Linked DNA regions of Ovis aries. The protein of the gene in region 1 interacts with the protein of each later gene in a biochemical or structural test. Links are inferred from orthologs where the notes say so. Each region holds a gene or a part of one and is shown in the gene's direction. Other genes may lie near its edges. The genes, in order: ITCH, JUNB, NFE2, MAPK8, NDFIP1, NUMB and MLANA.

The links.
Region 2: the proteins of ITCH (region 1) and JUNB form a complex in vitro, tested with the Homo sapiens proteins (2 studies listed by BioGRID, with this or other methods). The link is inferred for Ovis aries from reciprocal best matches to the Homo sapiens genes ITCH and JUNB.
Region 3: of the proteins of ITCH (region 1) and NFE2, one has a biochemical effect on the other in vitro, tested with the Homo sapiens proteins (2 studies listed by BioGRID, with this or other methods). The link is inferred for Ovis aries from reciprocal best matches to the Homo sapiens genes ITCH and NFE2.
Region 4: of the proteins of ITCH (region 1) and MAPK8, one has a biochemical effect on the other in vitro, tested with the Homo sapiens proteins (2 studies listed by BioGRID). The link is inferred for Ovis aries from reciprocal best matches to the Homo sapiens genes ITCH and MAPK8.
Region 5: the proteins of ITCH (region 1) and NDFIP1 form a complex in vitro, tested with the Homo sapiens proteins (2 studies listed by BioGRID). The link is inferred for Ovis aries from reciprocal best matches to the Homo sapiens genes ITCH and NDFIP1.
Region 6: the proteins of ITCH (region 1) and NUMB form a complex in vitro, tested with the Homo sapiens proteins (3 studies listed by BioGRID). The link is inferred for Ovis aries from reciprocal best matches to the Homo sapiens genes ITCH and NUMB.
Region 7: the proteins of ITCH (region 1) and MLANA form a complex in vitro, tested with the Homo sapiens proteins (2 studies listed by BioGRID and IntAct, with this or other methods). The link is inferred for Ovis aries from reciprocal best matches to the Homo sapiens genes ITCH and MLANA.

The regions. Positions count from the first base shown.
Region 1 is NC_056066.1:63,862,096-63,865,595, forward strand, and holds part of ITCH (E3 ubiquitin-protein ligase Itchy homolog), read left to right. Parts: intron 1-636; coding exon 637-725; intron 726-2,465; coding exon 2,466-2,625; intron 2,626-2,886; coding exon 2,887-3,020; intron 3,021-3,500. UniProt on the Homo sapiens protein: Acts as an Acts as an E3 ubiquitin-protein ligase which accepts ubiquitin from an E2 ubiquitin-conjugating enzyme in the form of a thioester and then directly transfers the ubiquitin to targeted substrates.
Region 2 is NC_056058.1:11,037,597-11,041,156, reverse strand, and holds JUNB (transcription factor JunB), read left to right. Parts: upstream 1-1,235; 5' UTR 1,236-1,519; coding exon 1,520-2,563; 3' UTR 2,564-3,060; downstream 3,061-3,560. UniProt on the Homo sapiens protein: Transcription factor involved in regulating gene activity following the primary growth factor response. Binds to the DNA sequence 5'-TGA[GC]TCA-3'.
Region 3 is NC_056056.1:132,256,502-132,260,702, forward strand, and holds the start of NFE2 (transcription factor NF-E2 45 kDa subunit), read left to right. Parts: upstream 1-1,401; 5' UTR 1,402-1,556; coding exon 1,557-1,570; intron 1,571-1,767; coding exon 1,768-1,936; intron 1,937-3,163; coding exon 3,164-4,174; 3' UTR 4,175-4,201. UniProt on the Homo sapiens protein: Component of the NF-E2 complex essential for regulating erythroid and megakaryocytic maturation and differentiation. Binds to the hypersensitive site 2 (HS2) of the beta-globin control region (LCR).
Region 4 is NC_056078.1:41,792,933-41,795,460, forward strand, and holds part of MAPK8 (mitogen-activated protein kinase 8), read left to right. Parts: intron 1-25; coding exon of another isoform or gene 26-30; coding exon 31-176; 3' UTR 177-2,528. UniProt on the Homo sapiens protein: Serine/threonine-protein kinase involved in various processes such as cell proliferation, differentiation, migration, transformation and programmed cell death.
Region 5 is NC_056058.1:50,835,312-50,838,811, forward strand, and holds part of NDFIP1 (NEDD4 family-interacting protein 1), read left to right. Parts: intron 1-729; coding exon 730-854; intron 855-3,086; coding exon 3,087-3,153; intron 3,154-3,500. UniProt on the Homo sapiens protein: Activates HECT domain-containing E3 ubiquitin-protein ligases, including NEDD4 and ITCH, and consequently modulates the stability of their targets. As a result, controls many cellular processes.
Region 6 is NC_056060.1:82,826,680-82,830,179, reverse strand, and holds part of NUMB (protein numb homolog), read left to right. Parts: intron 1-112; coding exon 113-317; intron 318-2,235; coding exon 2,236-2,529; intron 2,530-3,500. UniProt on the Homo sapiens protein: Regulates clathrin-mediated receptor endocytosis. Plays a role in the process of neurogenesis.
Region 7 is NC_056055.1:74,040,133-74,044,428, forward strand, and holds the start of MLANA (melanoma antigen recognized by T-cells 1), read left to right. Parts: upstream 1-1,496; 5' UTR 1,497-1,661; intron 1,662-2,393; exon of another isoform or gene 2,394-2,437; intron 2,438-3,681; 5' UTR 3,682-3,706; coding exon 3,707-3,783; intron 3,784-4,296. UniProt on the Homo sapiens protein: Involved in melanosome biogenesis by ensuring the stability of GPR143. Plays a vital role in the expression, stability, trafficking, and processing of melanocyte protein PMEL, which is critical to the formation of stage II melanosomes.

The DNA.
Region 1 (3,500 bases):
TTTTTCATTTTCAAGTTAGCCAATTGGCTATTATCTGTACCTTTTGGGTATAAAACAAACTGAAACCTGGCCCAGACCAAATAAGGACCTGACGTCTGATTGTGGTCAGTTACTCTGCTCTAAGCAAGTGAGAGAAGGAATTTTGTTATATATATATATATATATATGTATATGTATATATATATATATATATAATTTGTATATATATATAAAATTGTTATTTTGTTATAAATATATTTTTCTATATATAAAAATTGTTATATATATATATATATATATATATATCTGTTTTGAGAGTATAGAAGGCTATGTAAAATAGGACTTGAAATTTTAAATTCTCTTTTCTTAATGTTGAAGCTTCTAATCAAACCCTGGAAGACAGACTCAAGCAGTGGTAGGATCATTTAAAAGAAAATTATATATAAAGTATAGAGAAATATAAATATGTGTAATTTATAAAATATTATGAAACTTTAATGTATTTTCTAATATGTGTGGAATTGACCAAACTACAAACACCATTCTATATCCTGAGGAATTTAAGTTACTTATAATGAAGGAGATTTCTAACCCGGAAGTAAGTGATTAAGGTGTTTCTACTTTTACCAATTTTATACCTTTTTTTTTTTTCGGTAGATAATGAGCTTCAGTCCTCAAGATCTGCGAAGACGTTTGTGGGTGATTTTTCCAGGAGAAGAAGGTTTAGATTATGGAGGTGTAGCAAGGTAGTGATAATATGAATACTCAGAACTTAGTTCCTTTCCTCCAAAGGTATCATTACACTTTGCTTGCAAGTATTTTCTCAATTTTCTATTTCAGGAAAATGAAATGTAGCAAATTTTTGTACCTTTATTAAATGTTGCAGTTATAAAACTTCAAAAGCCATTAATTGAACACTTCTCTCTCTAAGGTACCGCTAGTTGATTTCACCCACATCACTCATTTATTCATCAGGATAATTCTGTGAGAGAATTTTCCAGGTAATAATGAGGTATAGAGAGTCACCAGAGACACATAACTAAGTTGTAGAGCCTGGATGCAAGTTTCACATCATCAAACTAGAAGCCAGTGTTCAGTTGACTGTATCATATCTGTTCCGTAAAATGTACAAGGCCCTAGAGTGTTCAGGTCACATTCTGCAACACAGACTGTTGATAGAAATAATAGTCATTCAGTTCCTAACTGAGTTTAATATATATATAACTGTTTTGAGAGTATAGAAGGCTATATGAAATAGGACTTGAAATTTTAAATTCTCTTTTCTTAATGTTGAAGCTTCTAATCAAACCCTGGAAGACAGACTCAAGCAGCAAGTTGCTTTGCTTATTCCATAATGATATATCATACAGAGTTAAAAATTTGCATATCAGTGGCCTTACAAAAAGCCAAGGATTTTGAAGTCAAGATTGCATTTGAATCCTTTTTCTGTACTTAGTAGTATGACTTGGGGCAACTGCCTTCATCTGTATAATAAGAGTGATCATAACTGCTTCTCTGGGATTGCTGTAAAGTGTAGAAATATAGTTTATTAATATCCTACTTCAGACCCTGAGTCTTTGTGGAGTCACTAACTGGTCGCTGCATTTTAGTGGTTTTTACTTAGGTTTTGTTTCAAAGTTCATATTTCAAAATGTATGAAGTAATCACAGGTAAATAAAAATATGAGTAGAAACATTTAATTTTGTTTAAAGTAAAGATAATTCAGGAGGAGGGTAATCATTCATTCCTAGCTAGTAGTATTAAGTATAAGCAAGACTACCACCAGAGGCCATAAATCAACAAAAAAAGGAATCTCGGGCATGAACTGATAAATTGCCCCAGATTCACTCTACCGACTGTTCTGCCAGATCCTCACCCCTGTTACATAGTTAGTAACTATAATCTTACATTAGTATTGGTTGATACTTTCACAGCATTTGAATTAGAGCTTCTCAGTGTATTTTTCTAATGAATGAGTAGCTTGAATTAAGTGTTTTATTGCCTCTGTGATATTGGAAGTTTTTTCATATTTAAGAGAGCAGTAGCACTTAATGAGCATCACTGAGGGGCTTGGACATGGATGGAATAATGTTAGACTTGTTTCAGCTACTCTAACCACATGGGTCGACAGTGAAGTTTAAACTTGCCTATGTTTAGTATTTCACTGATTCTAAGACTAAAGTTTTCATATTTTAACATTTCTGAAACTGAGATGTGTATTACAGTTGGAAATTTTTTTTAGTGGTTCATCAAATAATGTTGTCTTTAAAGTCAATGATGTCTTAGATTCTTTGAAATAAGCAGTGTGTAAATATCTTTGTAAAATAGATGGCGGTTTGTACAGAAGCTGTAAAAATCAATGTGAAACTAGAGAAATATCACCACGTGAGGAGTATAGATTCCTGAGAGCTTTATAGCACTTCTCTTTGATTTATTGGTATGGTTACTTACAAGATTTTTCACCCTAAATTTTCTTTTGGTTTCAGAGAATGGTTCTTTCTTTTGTCACATGAGGTGTTGAACCCAATGTATTGCCTGTTTGAATATGCAGGGAAGGATAACTACTGCTTGCAGATAAACCCCGCTTCTTACATCAATCCAGATCACCTGAAATATTTTCGTTTTATTGGCAGGTTTATTGCAATGGTAAGTTCAAGTGGAGAACTGTGTTTACTTTGCTAATTCAGCAATACTAAAGCATTGTGCCTTTAACTTTCTCGTTGGAAATTTTCTCATCACTAAGACATGTCTTAAGATTGGGTTCTTATATCTTCCCTTTTCCCAGAAATATTCCATAATAGATTGTATGATGGGGAGTTTGTTTTGTCTTTTAACTGAAGAACTCATCTTAACATTCTGAAATACAGGGACCATTATAAAATTATGGATTGTTTTCTTCTTGCATAGGCTCTGTTCCATGGGAAATTCATAGACACAGGTTTTTCTTTGCCATTCTATAAGCGTATCTTGAATAAACCAGTTGGACTGAAGGATTTAGAATCGATTGATCCAGAATTTTACAATTCTCTCATCTGGGTTAAGTAAGTTTGTTTCCTTTTAATTATCAAAATATAATCTATATGTTTTCTTTTTAAAAAAATATTTATTTCTTTGGCTTTGCTGGGTCTCAGTTCGTGGCACACAGGATCTTTGATCTCCTTTGGGGCATGCAGGATCTTTTAGTTGCAGCATGTGGGATCTAGTTCCCCGGACCAGGGATTGAACCTGGGCCGCCTGCATTGAAGTCTTAGCTACTGGACCACCAGGGAAGTCTCTAGTCTGTATGCTTTCATTATAGTATTGGTAATGTATTCAGACTGTAAGCATGTAATTGGTTTACTGAATTTACATGATTTATGTTAAATCTCATTATTCAGTGTGATTATTTTTATAGAAATATACCCAAAAATCTTAGGTAAAATATGACTATTAGAGCATCATATTCCAGCTTTGTTATTCTGATGTTACAGTTTGACAATAATTATTGAAGAACATACTGCTTCCCAGGTGGCTCAGTGGTA
Region 2 (3,560 bases), on another chromosome or scaffold:
TCCGAGGCGCTGAACCCCGCCGGACACAGGGCGGGGTGCCTAGTCCCGTAGGATTCGAGTGACGGAGGCAGGGCCGGGCTCCGTCCCCCGGGGCTGTTGCCACACTTCCTGCCGCGGCGCTCTTTCCCCAGCCTGTTTCTAAGGAAGGAGTGGGGTTGGGCGACCGCGCCCCAGCCGTCGGGCTGGGTCTAGGCACTGGGAGCCGACACGGTGCCGGTCAACCTCAGGGTCACTAGGGGAGGGCTTTGGGGTGGGGAGTATACAGGCACCCACGAGAGGGGAGCCGATCATGGAAGGTCCCCAGGATCCTCAAAGACCCCTCCTTCTCTCAGGTCTCAACCGGGGACCCTCTCAATATCATCTCAGTTCTGAAAGGGTGCCTCGACCCTTCTAATTCTATCCTTCATTGAGGCTTCGCAGATGACCCCAGTGACCCCCAACCTCTGACAATCTTCTACCGCACGTATTTTCCTTGCCTCAGTGTACCCCAGGACCCTCACTCACTTTATGCGTTTCTAGTTTCTCTCAATGCCTTCCCCTTCCCGCTTGTCGGGGACTCTGTCTCTCTCCGGTGGGCTCCAGGACCCCGACTCATTTTTTGCATAGTGGACCCTCCAAACTCTCCCGGGTACACTTTTGATCTCTCCTCCTTATTTCACCTGGGTTCAGCTCCTCCCGGGAAAATTCCAGTCCCTCAACCATCCTGTACCCAGGACCCCCACTCAGTTTCTGAGTCAGATGTCTCCTCCCCCGCTTCCCCATCTACCTTGCTGTCTCTCCTTTGCGGGGTCTCTCAGTGTATTCTCAGCCCTCCAGCACCTCTGAAAGACTCCAGATCACTCAGGCCTTTCCGCGTGCATCCCGGGACCACCCCCTCCCCCCAACACGCACACACTTGCTCAGTACCAATTTCTCGTATCCCTTATCGCGTACTCCAGGGAAATCATCACCCTCCCCGAAACCTCTCCCGGTGTGCCTCGGATCGCCCCAGCAACCCCTTCCTCACGCACCCTAGGGTCCTCTGGCCCCTCCCCCTGCAGGCGCTCCGAGCCACCCAGCCCGTGGCCGCTGTTTACAAGGACACGCGCTTCCTGACAATGACGCGAGCCGCCTCCTCCCCTTCCCCACGCTCCAGAAGGGGGGTGCGGGGGCCTGGCTCCGGTGACAGCCAATCAGAGCGCACTTCCGTGGCTGACAACCGCGGTATAAAGGCTTGTGGCTCTGGCGGAGCGGCCGGGACCTTGAGCACGGCCAAGCCAGCACCGGAGCCAGCAGGGAGCAGGGAGCAAGGGAGAAGCGACACCAAGAAAACGAGCGCGCTAGAGAGGGGCAAAGGGGCTCGAGAAGCCGCACAGCTTCCTCGCACAGCCTCCGACCGGCCTCTCCCGACCAGTGCCAGCCCTCAGGAACGTTCGTCCAGACACCCGATACAGGCACAGCCGCGGACTGCGCGCGGCTAGCTGCAGCGAGGCCCGGGGCGGCCCCGTAGGGACCCCCTCAGACCGCCCGGGCCGCCCGGATGTGCACTAAAATGGAACAGCCCTTCTACCACGACGAATCATACGGAACAGCGGGATACGGCCGGACCCCGGGCGGCCTCTCTCTACACGACTACAAACTCCTGAAACCCAGCCTGGCGCTCAACCTGGCCGACCCCTACCGAAATCTCAAAGCACCTGGTGCGCGGGGTCCTGGCCCAGAGGGCAACGGCGGAGGCAGCTACTTTTCTAGCCAGGGTTCGGACACAGGCGCGTCACTCAAGCTCGCCTCATCGGAGCTGGAGCGCCTGATCGTCCCCAACAGCAACGGCGTGATCACGACGACGCCCACGCCCCCGGGACAGTACTTTTACCCCCGCGGGGGTGGCAGCGGTGGAGGTGCGGGGGGCGCAGGGGGCGGCGTCACTGAGGAGCAGGAAGGCTTCGCCGACGGCTTTGTAAAAGCGCTGGACGACCTGCACAAGATGAACCACGTGACGCCCCCCAACGTGTCCCTGGGCACCAGCGGGGGCCCCCCAGCCGGGCCCGGGGGCGTCTACGCCGGCCCGGAGCCTCCTCCAGTCTACACCAACCTCAGCAGCTATTCTCCGGCCTCTGCGCCCTCCGGAGGAGCCGGGGCCGCCGTCGGGACAGGGAGCTCGTACCCGACGGCCACCATCAGCTACCTCCCACACGCGCCGCCCTTCGCCGGCGGCCACCCGGCGCAGCTGGGCCTGGGCCGTGGCGCCTCCGCCTTCAAGGAGGAACCGCAGACCGTGCCTGAGGCGCGCAGCCGCGATGCCACGCCGCCGGTGTCCCCCATCAACATGGAAGACCAGGAGCGCATCAAAGTAGAGCGCAAGCGGCTGCGAAACCGGCTGGCGGCCACCAAGTGCCGGAAGCGGAAGCTGGAGCGCATCGCGCGCCTGGAGGACAAGGTGAAGACGCTCAAGGCCGAGAACGCGGGGCTGTCCAACACTGCCGGCCTCCTCCGGGAGCAGGTGGCCCAGCTCAAACAGAAGGTCATGACCCACGTCAGCAACGGCTGCCAACTGCTGCTTGGGGTCAAGGGACACGCCTTCTGAGCGCCCCCTTATCCCCCGTACGGACATTTCCCCAACCTGGACGGCTGGGCGCACGCCTCCCATGGGGCGAGGGGGCAGGCGGTGGGCACTGGCCCCGGGGCCTGAGGGCGCAACTAACCACACTGGACTCCTGCCCGCCCGCTCTGCGCCCAGTCCTTCCACCTCAACGTTTACAAGCCCCCCTTCCACTATTTTTTTTTATTTTTTTCCTGCAGAACTCAATTCATATTGAATATAATATATTTGTGTATTTAACAGGGAGGGGAGGAGGGGGCGATTGCGGCGGAGCTGGCCCCGCCGCCCGGTACTCTAGCCCTCGGGGATACTGGGGAGGGGACCCCCGCCCCCTGCCCTCCCCCCTCTGCACCGTACTGTGGAGAAGAAACACGCAGTCGGTTTCTAAAGGAGTTATTTTAAGCTGTGTTTATGTGTGAGTTCGTTTATTGTCCTTACTTTTTATTGAATCTATTTAAGTAAAAAAAAAAGTTCTTTATTAATTTCTGTTGTCTTTTTTTCAAGCCGGCCAGGGGGGAGGGAGGGGAGTACTGGGCAGCCCCCACCCCACGGCTGTTTGTGGCTTGCTCCTGTAACTGTGTCAACCTCGCCAGTTCTGTTCAGGCATCTTGCACCCTCAGCCGGGTGTCCAACCCTTCTGGCGTCTCCTGATCTCCCGGATTGGAAGGTCCAGGGTGTGTACACAGTCCAGCCACCCTTCCCCCCCCCCCCGCCCCCAGGGCCAGGGGACAGGATGCCTTGGGCAAAACGCTCAGCGCGCAGGCGCGGCACCTCCCAGCCGCGCGCGCCGGGGCTTTCCCCGCTGACGCTGCGGAAGCGCTGTCCAAACATGGGCTGATTCTGCCCAGTGACGCGACGGCGGTCTCCGGGCAGATTCCGGGAATCCCCTCCCCCGCTCTGCCGGGCAGGGCTGCGGCGCCGGGAAGGGGGCCGGGATTTTCCCAGGCTGGCGGCTACCGAGGCCCGGAAAGCCCCAGGCCTG
Region 3 (4,201 bases), on another chromosome or scaffold:
AGTTTGCAGCTCTCGTGAATTTTGTGGTGAGTCAGAGTGGATTCCACATTAAATACCTGTGATGGGCCATCCTTGTGGTGATCTAAGGTCCTCCAACCCTATGCTCTGCCTGTCCTTCTCTAAGTCTCCCCCACTCACCCAGTCTGCCTGCCTTTACTTCTGCAGCAGATATAGGGTACAGTGCGTGGCCCTAAGAGAGCAGGGGGCCCCTGCCAAATCTGCTTGGAGTGTCTTGCCAAAGGCAGGGAGAACAGATGAGGGTGAGATGGGTGTCAGGGAATAGGGAGGTGGAGTGAGGAGAAAGGGTGACAGAAAGGAGAAGATGAAGGCAGGGCTGAGGGATTGCTGAGAATGTTGAACTGTCCAAGCAGAGAGGGAGGGACCTCCAAATTCAACTTGTCTCACTCCCTGGTTTTACAAATGAGGAAACAGAAGCTCAGAGAAAGGCGACGGCTTGCCCGACATCTTGCTGCTGCGCAGGTCTGCAACTCCAGCCCAGATCCAAAGCAAAGGGGCTGAAGGGGAGTGAGTATTCAAGTCTCTAAAGAAATATTCCCTAGAAGAGAAAAGAGGCCGAGATTCCACAGAAGGAGCTGACTGATGCTGACTACCAGTAGAGTCTCGGCGTAGCAAGACGTGGGAGCAGGACTGGGAAGGCACCTGGAAGATGGGACGGCAGGAGAGTCAGCAACTCTAAGCACCAGACCTGACTCTGCTATTTAGCAGCTTGAGTCTCAGATTCAGAATGGACCTTATAGGATCTTTGTGAAAATCAATCTCATAAATGAGTGCCTATAGACCCCCAGGCTCAGTTCTCAACAAATGCCAAGCAAGTCTTTGCTGTGGTTATTATATGACCTGGTTTGTGGGGTAGGGTATAGCCAAGAGGACCCTGCAGGACACAGGGCAGAGGTCCAGTGTCTCCAGAGACCATTCCTCCTCTGCTGCCTGCTGCTGATAAACCTCTTATCTGGCCCAGGCAGGGGAGCCCAGGACCAGGATAGGAGGCGAGGGCAGGGCTGCTATCAGCCAGCAGGCCCAGGGCCTATCTTAGAGAAAGGGAGGGGCTGTCTGCTTGGCTCTTCCCACAACACGCTCCTTGGGGATCCCCAAGCACTCACTCTCAACTTGGAAGGAAAAGACTGAGATCCTAAAACTGAGGGCAGAGGAGGAGAGCAGGAGTGATCCCTGAGGCTGCTGCAGGAGACAGGAAAAACAGAACCACCACCCTAGATGATGTGGCTTCTGTCCTGGCCTGTGATGCAGTCCTGAGGAGTTCAGCAGTAGGGGAAAGAGAAGGCATCTTATCTGAAAAGTAGAGCTCCCAGAGGAACTGCCTACAGCCATAGCAGGTGAGGTAGAGATAACACAGCAGAAAGAGGCTTTCTAGCTTAAGGAGTTGTTGATGAGTGCAGCATGGATGGGGGGATGAAGCGTCTCCTTCCCTCAGGGGAAGCTGGAGGGAGCTGCTCTGTGCATGCGTGCGTGTTCAGTCGCTCAGTCATGTCAGACTCTTGGTGACCCCATGGACTGTAGCCCGCCAGGCTCCTCTGTCCATGGGATTTTCCAGGCAAGAATACTGGAGTGGGTTGCCATTTATTCCTCCAGGGGATCTTCCCCACCCAGGGATCAAACCCAAGTCTCCTGCATTGGCGGGTGGATTCCTTACCACTGCGCCACCTGGGAAGCCCAGCTGCTCAATGAAGAAGGATAAAACTGCTGACCCGTGGCAGGAGAGGTCCTAACCTTTGTTTCTCTTTGATATAGGTTGCTGGGACCATCTGGGCTCTCGGGACCTTGGACCAGGCCCTGGCCCAGTAGGATGTCCCCGTGTCCTCCACAGCAGAGCAGGAACAGGGTAACACAGCTACCCATTCCGGAGCCAGGTGAGATGGAACTGACTTGGCAGGAGATCATGTCCATCACTGAGCTGCAGGTAAGCCAGGCAGTGGGGAACAAGGTGGTGGGGGGAGGGAAAAGCAGCGAAACAGGGAGTCTGGCTGGGATCGAGGCCCTGGGTGTGTGTGGCAGGGGGTGGCACTGGAGCAAGCAGAGCCCAGGGTCTCAAGATGGGAGATTTTCTGGACACTGTAAAAAGAAGGGCTGGAGTCGAAGAGATCTGGAGGGAAGGCCAGAGCGTTGAGGGGGAGGGGTGCGGATGAGCAAGAGATAGCAGTGGTGGGAAGGAAGGATCTGATTGGGGGTGCAAGCTCTCTGAGCAGCCACTCTGCTCACGGCTCTCTACCTCACCTCCTGCCCCGCCTTCCCTTCTTCCCTTCTTCACCTTCCTCTGTTCTGCCCTCTTCCAGTCCTGCCCGTCTTCATCCCTCATTTCCTTCCCCTGTCCTCAGCAGCTGGGCCCCTTTCCCTCAGGTAGCAGAGCTGTAGTTCAGGGGCCTCAGGAAGGTGGGGGTGGGGGTGGGGGGTCGGGCTATGCCGGGGTCCTTTCCTCCTGCTACCTGGACAAAGGGGTGTCTGTTGGCCTAACAATGATGCCTTTGTCCCCAGCTGGGCTGGAGCAGGATGGCTCCCCGATGTGGGTTGGGGGCCCTGTTCTCCTCAGCATGTTCTCTCCTCCTCTCTGCACCTGGGCAGGGACAGAGGGACTGGAGGGGAAAGGGCAGAGCTCACGGTGGCTCCCCGAAGTAACTCTCTGCCCCAGACCTGGCACTGTGCCCATGCCAGCCTGGGTCCTCAGGATCTGCCCTAAGCTCTCTTCCCACACAGCAGCTCCCTCTGCTGGGCACCCAGGGCATGGCCAGGGTCTGAACTTGACCCTTTGACCCTAGATAATGGCAGCAGGAAAAGGGTTCCAAGGGTCATCGTGGAGTGACTCCTTGTCTTCCTGAAGGAAATAAAGGGACAAGAGACATCTCAAGCCAGTAAGAACTTCTCCTGAAGAGGAGGGGATTCCACAACTGTTGTGGCGTTAGTCCTTTCTGAAGTCTGACTTCAGCGAGTGCCCTTCCTGTTTAAGCCGCTTTCTTCATGAACTTGCTCTGTCACAACTTTGCCAGAAGCTTTTAATGATTATTAGCAACTTTCTGTTCCCTTGTGATTATCTCACTAGTTCTTTCAGTGGGACTTAGATTGGTTCTGAGAGAGAGATGGTTTCTTCTCTTCCTCAGCCCGTCTACAAACCTCTTGGTGTCTTTTCTTGCAGGGTCTGAATGCTCCAAGTGAGCCATCATTCGAGCCCCCAGCCCCTGTCCCATACCCAGGGCCCCCGCCGCCTCCAAGTTACTGCCCCTGCTCTATCCACTCGGAGCCTGGCTTTCCCCTTCCTACACCACCTTATGAGCTCCCGGCACCCACGTCTCATGTCCCAGACCCTCCGTACTCCTATGGTAGCAACATGACTGTACCAGTCTCCAAGCCACTGACCCTCTCGGGCCTGCTCAGTGACCCCCTCCCAGACCCCTTGGCCCTCCTGGACATTGGGTTGTCAGCGGGGCCATCCAAGCCCCAAGAAGACCCAGAATCTGACTCAGGATTATCCCTCAACTATAGTGACGCTGAATCTCTTGAGTTGGAGGGGACGGAGGCTGGCCGGCGTCGCAGCGAGTATGTAGAGATGTACCCAGTGGAGTACCCCTACTCACTAATGCCCAACTCCTTGACCCACCCCAACTATGCCTTGCCACCTGCCGAGACCCCCTTAGCCTTAGAACCCTCCTCGGGCCCTGTGCGGGCCAAGCCCACTGCACGGGGGGAGGCGGGGAGTCGGGATGAGCGGCGGGCCCTGGCCATGAAGATCCCCTTCCCTACGGACAAGATTGTCAACCTGCCAGTAGACGACTTCAACGAGCTGCTGGCGCGGTACCCGCTGACAGAGAGCCAGCTGGCCCTGGTCCGGGACATCCGAAGGCGGGGCAAGAACAAGGTGGCCGCCCAGAACTGTCGCAAGAGAAAGCTGGAGACCATCGTGCAGCTGGAGCGGGAACTGGAGCGGCTGGGCAGCGAGCGGGAGCGGCTTCTCCGGGCCCGAGGCGAGGCCGACCGGACCCTGGAGGTCATGCGCCAACAGCTGACGGACCTGTACCGTGACATTTTCCAGCACTTGCGGGATGAAGCAGGCAACAGCTACTCCCCTGAAGAGTATGCGCTACACCAGGCTGCTGATGGGGCCATCTTCCTGGTGCCCCGGGGGACCAAGATGGAGGCCACAGACTGACCTGGCCGGAGGGGGTGGGACTGGTGA
Region 4 (2,528 bases), on another chromosome or scaffold:
ACTGATTCGCTGTTCTGTTCCTCAGCACAGGTGCAGCAGTGACCAGTGGCTCTCAGCGTCCGTCATCATCGTCGTCTGCCAATGATGTGTCCTCAATGTCAACAGATCCGACCTTGGCCTCGGATACAGACAGCAGTCTAGAAGCGTCGGCTGGGCCTCTGGGCTGCTGTAGATGACTACTTGGGCCTCGGGGGGTGGGAGGGATGGGGAGTTGTTTAGTCATTGATAGAACTACTTTGAAAACAATTCAGTGGTCTTATTTTTGAGTGATTTTTCAAAAATGTAGAATTCATTTTGTAGTAAAGTAGTTTATTTTTTTTAATTTCAAGTGATGTAATTTAAAATTTAAGTTGTGTTTTAAAACAGCAACAGAACTGTGTATTTTTGCTGTAATTAACTGTATAATGTAAACCTAATTATTTTATCATGGTTTAAAATTTTTGCATATTTGCTTTATCTTATGCTGCTGATTTTTTTTTTTTACTGAATTTGTAAGATTTTGTTTATCAAAGCAACTATTATGTGGTGACTTGCCTATATCATGAATTATTTAAGATTTTATAGTTTTTTTTATTAGAATTTATTTCAAATGTTTTGTTCATGATGCTATCCTTTAGGGTTATGTGCTTATCAATGAAATAACCCCAGAGGAGTGAGGGAAAATAACCTGTAGCCAGTTATATTCAGGAATAACTACTGTAAATGATGAACGTGTTTTTTTAAAAAAAAAAAAACCTCCAATATTTGCTACTTGCCAATTCTAATTTAGTTACATACAACTGATAGGTAATCCTATGTGAATTTTGGCAAAAGCCCCATCATCTGAATGGCAGAATAACTCAGAGCATGTCTTTGAAAGTGTTGGGCATCTACCACCATCTTCCTATCCCCGTATCCCACCCACCAACAGTACAGTAAGAGAATATGGTGTTTCCTGCAAATTTGTGGCATGCTCAAAGCTTATGATCACATAAAGTCAAGAGGATACTTCATGAATAATACATTTCAACGCAAATAAACAGATGGTTCACCTGTACTAGCTGTGAGCCTGTTTTTGTATACACTGAGTTAATCTACTCAGGCTGTAGGTCCTAGCAATGATCTAGAGTCTGGTCTTTCTCTTTCCTACAGCCTCGGGCCCTTGGACCTATTCAGTCTCCTGTTAGAGTGTCAGTCAGTTGAGCACCAGTTCTCAGGGTGTTTCTGGCCATTTGATTCTACCTGTGGCGTAATCATATTTATACTAGCTGTTGGGAGGTTCCAAAGCCTACTTAGATTTCTGTAGGTGATGTATAAAATGAGCAATATACCGTTCATCTGAAAATAGTAGCACACAGCCATATATAGGATATCATTTTCTAAGGACTGTTTCTTCATATTGAGCAGAGCAGGCATAAGTGGTAGTTATTTAGTCTGAGTCTTTCATTTTTTTTAATACCTAATTTTCAATAAAACACACGATGTGGATGTTGAATAGTGTAAGAATGGTGCTGCTCCTGACAGTTGTATGTTAATTGTTTACATTTTATATCTGCAAAATTATTTCTCTATAACAGAATTTTTCTTAAGTAAAATGTCATTGAAGTCTCATTATCTCTGAAATATGTTGTCTGTAATGCCCCAGGCACTTTTTATTATTTTTGGAACAAGAGGGATTTCTTGTAATGAACTGGGAAATGCATACTTAAATAAGCAAAAAGTTCTAGGCAGAATGCCCAATGGAATTAATGACCAGCAGGAGTAGGAACTGGTGCGATTCAATGTGTGGCATATGAACGTCCACTTGGCACGGTATTCATGTATTCAGTGCAAAATTCCTTTTGAATAAGGTATTTTAGGTCATTGTTAATGTGCAATATATAGGATCAAAATACATTAACAGCCATTTTATATGTTTTAAAATAGTAAGATTGTTTTTGATTGTTTAAGCCATGATTTCCAGCCTCTTTCGAAGTGGCAGTCTTTTTATTCCTTTTCTACTCATATGACAGGGTGCATTAATTTTATTAGGCAAAATAAAGTTTTGAGACTATGACACCTCTTGAATTGTAGAAACAGGATTGGATTTGCAGTTTCAGGAGAATTTGAGCACGAATGTGCTGAGGTTTTATTAGCTTGACAGTTACCTAGCTTTATTTCTATAGAATAGATTATTTCACTGTTGCACTTTAACAACTGACATGCTCCCAGAAGATTCCCTTCATTTTCTGCTTCCTTGCTGATGAGCCATCTCTTGGCGCAGGTGTTGGTTAAGCAAGGAAAACCAGGTGTTTTAACAGTATCATTTGTTGTAAATGCCAGCTCCACTTGCCACCCAGCATGTTTCAGTTGATTGAGAGAAAACAAAACTCTTAATAGTCATGTAGACTTAAGATACATCCTAAAAACAAAGTCTGTAAGTGTTGTGTGCCCTGGGTTTTTAAAATGCAGTATCTCAATACAACTTTCCCTCTTCTCTAACTGTGTCAAATAAGCTAAAGATGGGCTAGTTCTTTTTAGTTTTAGAAGTTTTTGAAACTTTAAAACAT
Region 5 (3,500 bases), on another chromosome or scaffold:
GTTATGGAGGATGCTGCATTTTTCCTTGAGCTGAGCTTCATTTTTCTGATCTTCAGAACGCCTTAAGCATTCCTCCTACTCATTCTTGACCTATAAAATAGGGAGTAAATGCCTTTGTCTGATGAATTCTGTTTTAAGCACTTCTGTTTTCTAACACATCAAAGTCAACCTCATTTTCCCCCCTTGATGTTATTTTGCATTTAGCTTTCCATATGCCTGACTTGGAAGTGAGCAACCATTTCAGAAATTTTATTTTCTGTATTAAAAAGATATGAAGGAAATGCAGTGCTTTTAGAGGTAACGCATTATGTAACCTGTCAAAGTTTACAGAAGCAAGAGGATGAATGACTTGAATCAGATTATTTAGGGGCATTAATTTAATGTTCAAATAATGTTTAATTACTCAGGTATAACACATACAGTAAAGGGTGCAAGTCATAAGTATGAAGTTTGGTGATATTAAGTTATTTCTTAAATTGTATAGCCGTAGGTGTAATAATAAAACACCTGATATTTTGAGACTGTGCTTTCTTGTTTGCTTTTGGGAGGAAGACAGAGGATGGCCATTTTGGGGAAGTGAGGTAAGAGTTGTGGATTGTGGGCTCAGCTCGTTTATCCTTGAGAAAGCCATTTTAGCAGAAGTAAATCCAGAGTGCACCCTTAGAACTCTTGCTCCTTGGATAACAGGATGTGTCTGACCTGCCTCTTTTCTTCTCTTGGCTTTTACAGTGGCATTCCTCTTTAACTGGATTGGGTTCTTCCTGTCTTTTTGCCTGACCACTTCTGCTGCAGGAAGGTATGGGGCCATCTCAGGATTTGGTCTCTCTCTAATTAAGTGGATCCTGATTGTGAGGGTAAGTTAAGTTGTACACCAGCAGTGATAGTCTCTGGAGAAGAATGAGTGGAATAATTTTGAGTATTTGACTTTGGAATTATCTCAACATTTAAAATGATTTTTTGTTTGTCTTTGTCTGGTTTCAAGAAATTGAACCTAGATCAGTTGTAGTTGGTTCATGCACACAAGTTTTGTAGTCAGTCTACAAAATATTGGTGGCCCTGGGACATCTATCCTTGTTCAGCTGCTTTCTCTGTTTTTAATGTTTATAATGTGGTACTACATGTATTTGTTCTGAAATTAGTTGTTTTTATAATAAGAGTCTATTAACTTTGTGGTCTCTCATCAAAAGCAGACATTGCTCTCATTAATGCAGCTGAAGTTTGAGTCCTTCTTCTCTCTTCCCCTCTATTCTTTTCTCCCTCCTTCCTCCCTCTCAACCTTCCTCTCTTCCAAGATTGGTTTTAAGTAGCATCATTGGTTATGCCAGGATATTTGGAGAGCCAGAACTGTTCAACAAGCCCTACTCCATTAGGGGCCCTTATCTCTAAAGTAAATACGAGAGAGATCTTAAGTGATGTAGGAGTTATCAGTTAGTTAGAGTTGCATGAAGTGATTGAAAGTTGTAAAAGATCTAGTTTCTTTAAGTGTCCTCTGATTTCAGAGAAGTTTACTGCCATTGTTAACTTTATAATATAAAATCAAGTTGTTTATCATAAACACTAAGGGGTGTTGACTGAGCCATGGAGTTTTTCAAAGTTATTTATTCTAAGGCAGTTAACATTTTTAGAATTCCGAGTTCCTTTGAGAATCTGATAAAAATTATGGGCTTTTCTCCTAGACAACTAACATATACTCTTCTAAAACATGGTCTTTAGGTTACAAACTCAAGCCATAAAGAAGTTTTTCATTCCTTCTCTAAATCTTATTAATCAAGAACTAAAACTATTTGAATGCTCAAACTGTGCTAAACTCTAGACTGTGTTAAAGTCTTCAACAGAAAGCAAGATCAAAGTAGTTACCAATCTTTTTATTTTTACTAAATTTTTTAAAAGAATTAATCAGCTTTTATCAATTAGGATGGTCTTTGGAGTAACAGAACATGTAGCTCAAAAATGGCTTAGAAAACATTGGGGAAATTTTATTTCCAGTGAAAATAAGTCCTGACATGAAGGTCAGTTATGTTTCACTGATAGTCAAGGCCAGCCGACAGGTGTTTCAACCTGTTGTACAGCTGGCCATGGCAGTTTCAAGCATCACATCAGAAACACAACAGTGCTCAGCAGAAGAAAGGAAACTCTCTCCTCTCCCTTCCTTTTTAAGAGCTAAGAAGCTTTCCTAGCAGCCCTTAGTTCCCACTGGCCACAATAGTATCATGTGCTATAGAGTCCCTGGCAAAGGAATGGGGTTATCATCATGTACATGGTAAAGCTTCCAGGGTCAAGGCCTGGCTGAAAGGGCAGGAACAAAATCAGGGATCATTACAAAGGAGGCCAAATATAGTTGAGTTTGGCACTGTGTAAGCAAAATAAAAGTTATCATCAAGATATATTTCTGGGGCTTTCCTGGTGGCTTAGTGGTAAAGAATCCGCATGCCAATGCAGAAGACACAGGTTTGATTCCTGATCCAGGAAGATCCCACATGCCACAGAGCAGCTAAGCCCATGTGCCACAGCTAATGAGCCTGTGCTATAGAGCCAGCGGGGTTCAACTACTGAGCCCACAGGCCACCAGCCACTGACGCCTGCGTGCTCTTGAGCTTGAGCCTATGCTGCGCAACGAGAGAAGCCACAACAGTGAGAAGCCCGTGCACTGAACCTGGAGAGCAGCCCTGGCTCTCACAACTAGAGCAAAGCCTGCACGGCAGCAAAGACCAGCAAGGCCAAAAATAAATAAAATTTATTTTAAAAAAAGACGTATTTCTAAAAGAGGAAAAATAGTTTTTAAAAAACAAACAGGTTTGAGCACTTTCAAAACAAGGACTATGTAAAGCTGAAAGCTACCATATTTCAAGGTTGCTTTTCCATGAAAGGAAGTATATTAGCAAATATTGTAATCATTTCAAATCTGTACTATATAAAATACTTTGACTAAAATTTTAGAAATTTTTGTAAGCACTAAATGAGCAACAGCATTTGTGTACAAGTTAAGATCTTGTGTTTTGTAAACTTTTTTTTTTTGTAAACTCTTAAGCTAAAATGTGAAATAATATCTGCAGAGGTTCTCTAAAGTATTTTGCTTTATTTTTCAGTTTTCCACTTACTTCCCTGGATATTTTGATGGTCAGTACTGGCTCTGGTGGGTGTTCCTGGTTCTAGGTAAGTGCTTTTAAAAAAGAAAGGAGAGAAAAGATTATGTTAAATTTTAGAAGTAAAATTACTTTTATTAAACCTTTATCTCACTTACTATACAGTAATATATTAGTGATAATAAGTATAATTTTAAAAATATGTCAAAGGTTAGGCTGTTATCACCATCAGAGTAACATACATAGTCATAGAATGTCTCTTGGTGGTGGTAATTTTTTCCTAACCCATCCATACACACTTCTCACATTTTCCATGTAGCCAGAGGGGCGTACCAATAAGATGACTTTTTAATAGTCCTTAGATTTTTTTTCCCCCTTGTGAGTTATTGCCACATAGGGTTCACAAGCTCAACCCCA
Region 6 (3,500 bases), on another chromosome or scaffold:
GAGTTCCTAACATTTTGCCTGTGTAAAAACAGACTTGTTTGTGGTCCAGCTAATGTGTAGTTGTTGACACCATAACTCTGAAAACGTTTTTTAAACCTTCTGTTATGTACAGGGTGAAAGACTGAGCCACGCTGTAGGCTGTGCCTTTGCAGCCTGTTTAGAACGTAAGCAGAAGCGGGAGAAGGAATGTGGAGTGACTGCTACTTTCGACGCCAGTCGGACCACTTTCACGAGAGAAGGATCATTCCGTGTCACCACAGCCACTGAGCAAGCAGAAAGAGAGGAGATTATGAAACAAATCCAAGATGCCAAGAAAGGTACAATTTGTCCTACTACAATGTGTGTTTATTTAAAACAGCTTTTCCCAACCGGTTAATATTTGGAAGCTGTCAGGGGCATAGAGAACTCTTAGCAATATATGAAGACCTTAAGAACAAAGCTGAAAATGTAAACAGAGTGGCTTGTTTAGTGGCCTCAAAGTATTTACTCTGTCTGTTAATTTTAACTACCTGGGGAAGCTGAGAGTGCAGTTGAAGAAGTTGCAAAGACATTTAAAAGCAAAATTGGGAAAACCTGTATCTTTTTTTTTTCAATTGTGATGCATCTGATCTCTATGAAAACCAAATGCTATCAAGGACCTACATCTTGAAGGAAGTGCAAGTCCCAGGTTTAAGCTGCAAAGGACCTGCAGATGGTGATGCCAGGTGGAAATGCAGGCAGAGACATCTCAGTGATGCTCTATTAGATTATGACTGTTTAGTGCTTTCATGAAAAAAGGCCACAGATTTTTGAGAAGCTGGCCCCTCACTATTTTTTCCATAGCCCCATTAATTTTAGTGTGTGGTTTTGCAGAATGTGAGTTTTTTTAAGGTACACTTGGCAGCATAGCAAAAATGCCTGTCCAGACATTCAAGTTACTCAGGAGGCTGTTGTCTGAAGTTGAGTCCAGTGTATTTTAGAACTGAGTGCTAGGGCTTAGGGAGAAAATGCTTTGCATTCTTGTGTATAACTTGGGCTGAAACCCAAAGCAAGGAGTATTTTTAAATTAAAAAGTTTGGTTTAAATATACATTAATATAATTTTGCCAATTTTTACTATATTCTTTTAATTCTAAACCTGCCATTTTAGGTAACATCAGCTTCCCAGGTAGCACTAGTGGTAAAGAACCCGCCTCCGAGTGCAGGAGCTTTAAGAGACATGGGTTCAATCCCTGGATCAGGAAGATCCCCTGGAGGAGGGCATGGCAACCCACTCCAGTATTCTTGCCTGGAGAATCCCATGGACAGAGAAGCTTGGCGGGCTACAGTCCATGGGGTCACAAAGAATTGGACACGACTGAAGCAACTTAGCATGCATTCATTAATCTAATACCCAAACAGCTTTTAATTTTTAAGCCAAAAAAGAATATATGTTTTCATTTGAAATTGAAGTAATGATTATGATTTTTTCATTTCTTATCGACATTTCTGCCAGGATACCAAAGAACAAAAAAAACACAGTGCTATTTTAACTAGACAAATGAATGTGTATAGGCTGTTATTTAATGTGCCTCAGTGATTTTCAGACCGGAAGCATATTCTTTGATACCACCAAATAATACTTTTTGCTACATATAGCAGCTGCCCAAATGCTTGAGTCCTAGCATCTACAGAGGATTATGGGGAGTTGGGGAAGTAGAGACTGACCACAATGAGAGTGTGATACAGCAGGTATTCACATGGAAACAGTCTTGTATTTGTTTACTCCAATTTAAAATTTGACTTCTGTATGCTTTTCTTCAAGAGAGCCTGTTGTCCAGGCCTGCTTTATGACTTAACATCTTGTCAAACTTAAGTTTGTTTAGACCCTTCTGACTCTGCCACTCCTGAAGTCCTCTGTCCCCGCCTCACTGGCCAGAAAGCAAACAAACATTGAAAACAGTGCACTATTATTCGTTAAAAGACCTCACATTAAGAGTTCATAGGTACTGGGGGGTTTTGTTTTGTTTAGTTTTGTTCAGTGTTTTAATTACTACATGAGAATAGTAGATATACCATGTGACATGTAGTAGATTATTAAACCCTTTATTTATCTGAAAAACAGGAGATCTGAGCCCTGCTTCTAACCTGTCTTTTGAGATACATAGGGAAGTAGATGGGTAAAATGACCCAGGAGGTTTTTGGGGTTCCTTAGTGATGTGAGCTCAAATTATTTGAAGACATTGCCCTAAGGTCCTCATTCTCCTGTTTTCTTGAGCTGATACAGATAAGACAGCTGATGGTTCGTCAGTGGCCCCTGGCAACATTGTCACCTCCCCATCCTCTCCCACCTCTCCCACTCTGGATGCCACTGCCTCTCTGGAGATGAACAATCCTCACGCCATCCCACGCCGGCATGCACCAATTGAACAACTTGCTCGCCAAGGCTCTTTCCGAGGATTTCCTGCTCTTAGCCAGAAGATGTCACCCTTTAAACGCCAACTGTCCCTGCGCATCAATGAGTTGCCTTCCACTATGCAGAGGAAGACTGATTTCCCCATAAAACACACAGGTAACATGGCATCCCCAACTCCCCGGGGCTCAGGCACTGAAGCGTTACATCACCTCCAGTGGAGTCCCTGATCCCATCAAACTATCCACCCCTCTTCTGAGGCTGTTTGGTGGCTGTGCATAGCTTGTATCATTTCCCATTGGCAGAAAATGGAGGTTCACAGAGAGAGATGGGAGTTGTTCATTTATTTTCAGCAATAGGTTAACAGAGCCATGATGGAAATTCCTAGTCCAAGTTACATGGTTTGTGATTTGTCCTGATGAAAGTGTACCTGCTTTCAGACATCAAGGGTCTCAAGTTTCCCTTCTTCTTCTGCCATTTGGGACCCAGCAGGGAGTTAATTTAAAAGGCTTTGGAAACACATCCAGTTAAATAGCACCACTGTCAGATGTACCAGAAGAAATGGATAAGTTCTCTTTGTCCTTGTGGCTGGTTGGCTCCATAGGGAGGAAACTCTAAACAGGTCTCCTGTATAAATCTAAGATCTGTTGTTCATCAGAGACAGTGGGATTGCTCACACATATTCATTACCTTTCAGAGCTGTCACACAGGCCTTTGTGTGGCCTTTGTACAGCTGAGCCAACCCCAGTAGCTCTATCCTCATCATAAGATCCGAAGCTTAAGTGTCAGATCCGGTCAGTGCTTTTATTGGGCCCTATTTTACTTTGCTCTCAGACATGTTGAGCCAGTGCTATAACAGAATCTGAGGAAGCCGTGTCTCAATAGGGCACTCTTACTGCTGGTGGCACAAAAGCACAGAGATTTAGGTTCTTTGATGGATAAAACTCGGCCTAAAGAACAGTTAAACTAGATCATTACTGAGGGTCTTGCCCCCTCTCAACTCCTATGAAAACCAAAACTCCAGATGCTTCAAGTACCTCATTTTCAATCTCCCTCTGGAGCAGGCGGGTAACAAAACCATTATTCTCTTTTCACAGTTGAGCAGACAGAGCTTCAACACATATAATTAG
Region 7 (4,296 bases), on another chromosome or scaffold:
GCCAAGACAGGTCACAGTATCCCCAGTGAGCTGGGCCTGGTCCCAGAGCCTCTTCTGGGGGAGCAGACAATGCCAGCTGCCTTGCAGTTTCCACCCTGGAACGGTGCCCGGGCACACTCAGGGCCCCCGGATTAGCTCACATCACTGAGGGACTTGAGCGAGACCCAGGAGCTTCCCTTTGCCCGGAGATCCAGGTTAGTACCTTCTTCCTTTCTGGCCTGGGTGCTCATCATCCAGGGGGCCATGTTAGTTGAGTCCAGCTTAGCATGTATCAATCTCTAGGCTCAGAACTGCACCCTTTAGTTAACATGTCCTGTAGGATTCTAGAACAGAAAAATGGCGCAGGTGAAAAACTAAGGGTATCTCAGTAAGATATGGCTGTAGTTACTGGTTCATTATTGTAACTAATTTAAGATGTTAATAACAGGGGAACTGGGTGTGGGATATCTATGTATTATCTTCATATTTTTCTGTAAATCTAAAGCTGTTCTAAAAAATAAAGTATACATTAAAATTAAAAAAAAAGGTTAAGTAAATAAAAGAACTGCATTTTTCTTTCTAGACTAGCACACACCACTAGGCCTTCCTGGGAGTTATTGGGCATAAACATGAGTCTCAGGTTAAAGCTGCTCTCCTCAAATCCCTTGACACCAAAGGCTTGTATCCTTCCTGATTTTCTTATGAAATCTCCTAAATCAGCCTCAGTTCTGGCAGTCCAGACCAAGTCTGATTCTTTCTCTGCTGTGGGGCCTTTGCACTGGTTCTTCTCTATGAAACACTGTCCATCTGTGAATGGCTGACTCCTTCTTGTCACTCAGATCTGTTTGCATTTTTTCTCCTTTTCAGAAAGGAGAGAACAAGGATCTCACCTAATAAAGATCAACCTCACTCATGCTGTTTTATTTCTCCCACATCATTTCCACTGATGATTATCCAGTGCTGATAATGCCCTCACACGAGACAGTCCAATGGGAACTGGAAAGAACCATAAGATCTGCAAGGTGGGGAAGCGGACCTCATGTTGTAGTCGCGTTAGTCAATCAGTCATGTCCAACTCTTTGCAACCCCATGGACTGCAGCCCACCAGGCTCTTCTGTCCATGGAAATTCTCTAGGCAAGAGTACTGGAGTGGGTTGCCATTCCATTCTCCAGGGGATCTTCCCAACCCAGGGATCGAACCCAGGTCCCCTGCATTGCAGGCAAATTCTTTACCATCTGAACTACCAAGGAAGCCATAAAGGGGAACCTTAGTGGTCATTTAATCTAAGTGCTTGGCTGATGAGAACTCTCACATTCCTTAATTCTGGTGGGTGTTTTGTTTAGTTTTTGCCTGTTTACAATGGTTACAGAGAGCTGGTGCTACTGCTGCTGCTGCTAAGTTGCTTCAGTCATTTCCAATTCTGTGTGACCCCATAGATGGCAGCCCACCAGGCTCCCCCGTCCCTGGGATTCTCCAGGCAAGAACACTGGAGTAGCTTGCCATTTCCTTCTCCAATGCATCAGAGTGAAAAGTGAAAGTGAAGAGTGAAAGTGAAGTTGCTCAGTCGTGTCCGACTCTGTGTGACCCCATAGATGGCAGCCCACCAGGCTCCTCCAACCATGGGATTTTCCAGGCAAGAGTACTGCAGTGGGGTGCCATTGCCTTCTCCGACAGAGAGCTGGTGAGCAATAATTCTGTCCCACTGAAATGCTTCTGGGCTGTACACATTTGACTCTCAGAGCAGGCTATGTAGGTTGAATTAGCCCTGGTTTCAATTAAATTCTAGGTAGGTCATATCCACCTTCAAACAGGAAATTTTCTCTGCTCCTTGCCAATGCAAGAAACCCATTCTTCCCAAGGGACAGTCGTCTCTGAGGGTGTCACAAAAGACCTGGGAGCTTAGCTCAGGAAGTTTCAGGGATCCTCTAATTCCTCTTCTTGATCAGGAAGTCGTGCTCCTAGATTACCTTCAGGCCTGAGACCAAAGGCTCACCCACACTTTGAGGTGAAGATGAGGGTGGGTAGAGGGTACCCCATTACAACTGAATTTCAAGTAAACAGCAAATAATTTTTTGCACTAAAAATATTTCATGGGACACCGTTATACTAAAATCTATTCATTGCTTATCTGAAATTCAAATGTAACTGGAAAGCCTATATTTTAACTGGCAATCCTACAGATGAGGGATCAGCATTAAAACTAATGACTCCCCTAAGATGAAACCTGGGATTAAGGAAAAAAGAGGCCACAGTGAGCCGTGACTTTTTGAGGAGAGGAATGAAGTTGGTTTCTTTCACGCTAATTAAGCAATCACAAACGACCCCATCAGAAATCTAAACTCGTGATTAACATGGGACTCGAGACCAGGGGGAAAAAAAATGAAAAAGGTTAAGAGCCAGAGAAGCAATCTTCACAGAAACGGCAGCCAGCAGACGGAGTTGGTCCCAGGAAGGCAGGTAAGAGCAAAGCCTTTTCACCCACTCTTTCAGAACAGAACAGGCTTTGGCAGATTCCAGTGGACTCCTCCAGCCTTTCTGATACCTGGATGTCGGCAGAATTCTCCTCAATATTCACAATTCTCCGACTTTTAAGGGTTCACAAAGTCTCCTCCTAGGTCCTACCTCTAGACTGCCCAGAAGCAAAGCAGAGAACCAGGAAAAGCAGTTGTTCAGGCTGTAACTGGCTCAGGAACAGCTGTGTCTACTCCCTTAAGAACCACTTTTCTTGGCTCAGGTAGGATGAAGTACATTTGCTGTCCCGCCACTGTTTGCCAAGGCTCGAAACTGGAGGTATAGATTTACAGAAACGAACTTAATGCAGAATTCGTTTTGTGTCTGTCATTTTGAACAGAGTTCATCCCCACATTATTCACCTGAGATGATCAGTAAGGTCAACTGTGACTTCTTTACAACTGGGAAGCGCAAATGACACATGCAATGCCCCAAGGAAAGGGTTCATGGGGTGAACTCTCCACTCCCCTTTTCCACTTCTATTCAGCTGTTTTAAATGGGCTCATTAATATAACTCTATGGGGATCAGACCTATGCAATTCACAAGAACAATAAAAGGAATGAAAAACGCACAATAGCAAGGAGAGAAGAGAAATCATTGTTGGTTTTTAATAAGCACACTCTAATAATGACCACTAAAGTTCATGAGCTTTTTACTTGTTTGTATCATAGTTTAAAATTTCATATTTTGGGGACAGTTTCCTTTGTTGGAATTAATGGGCTTGAAGGATGCTGTGCTGAGACACATGCCCATTATATCATCATAGCCTTTTATTTGTCCAAGGATTGATATAAAATAATACCTCTGGAGAGAAATAACTCCTCTTATTAATCTGTCTTGAGCCAGGGAAAGTAAGGAATGAATTAAAATGCTTTTTGTTTATTTCTCTACAAGTTTGTGGTATAGAGTCAAATTAATTCTCAAATCACAACTCAGTTTGAAAGTTTTTTCCTTTTGTTTGTGGTTTCTTCTTTGAACTTAAATTTCAGTTGGTAGAAAGGGGTTAAAAACCTGAGCAATTCCCACTTGACATCTGTGAAAGAAACAAGTACGAGTCCTTGCAGAGAGAGAAAACAGAGGGTTTGGATATCGTTTTCAGTCACCTAGCGAGAATGTCTTTGTGGGTGTTTTTGAGATGGTAAGAACACTCTGGATGCATGAAATGACACCTGTGTGTCCCTGCTGCTAGGTGTCCCGTGGCCTGACCCTACAAGATGCCAAGAGAAGAGGTTCACTTCTTCTATGGTTCCCCCAGGAAAGGGCACAGCCACTCTTATGTCACGACTGAAGAGTAAGTTCAAAATCAGACCCAGCGGGGTTACAGTTTGCCGTTTGCTGACACAGCCTTTGGCTTCCACCAGCACATGTTGGTCCGTAAATCTCTCTAGTGTTTATTTCTCCAGAAATAAACCTGGCAATGAGGTAAGGAGACCCTGAGGTCCTACAAAAGGTCTCAGGTTTCTCTGAGGCCAAAGAGGCAAAGAGGCAGGGAAGGCAAAAACCTGGATCTTGCCATTTTTGTTGCATTCTTGGCTATGAGGCCTTTACTGTGGGTTCCCAGGCTGAAAATCCTGTCTGAGAGCATGATGCCTCTGTCCTCAAGCCTTGCCTGACTGCTCCACTTGGGCTCCCAGAGGTGGTTTGCAGATAGAACAGAGGCAAGTTGCCAAAGGACAGTGAGGTTGAAGGGCAGGTGCGTCCCTCCACCTGCTGACTGAGTCCAAGGTGAAGAGGGTGGTCATAACCTTTGCATCAATGCTTTACCCTAAAGAAAGGTGTTTTGTATTATGAATTATTTAAAAAT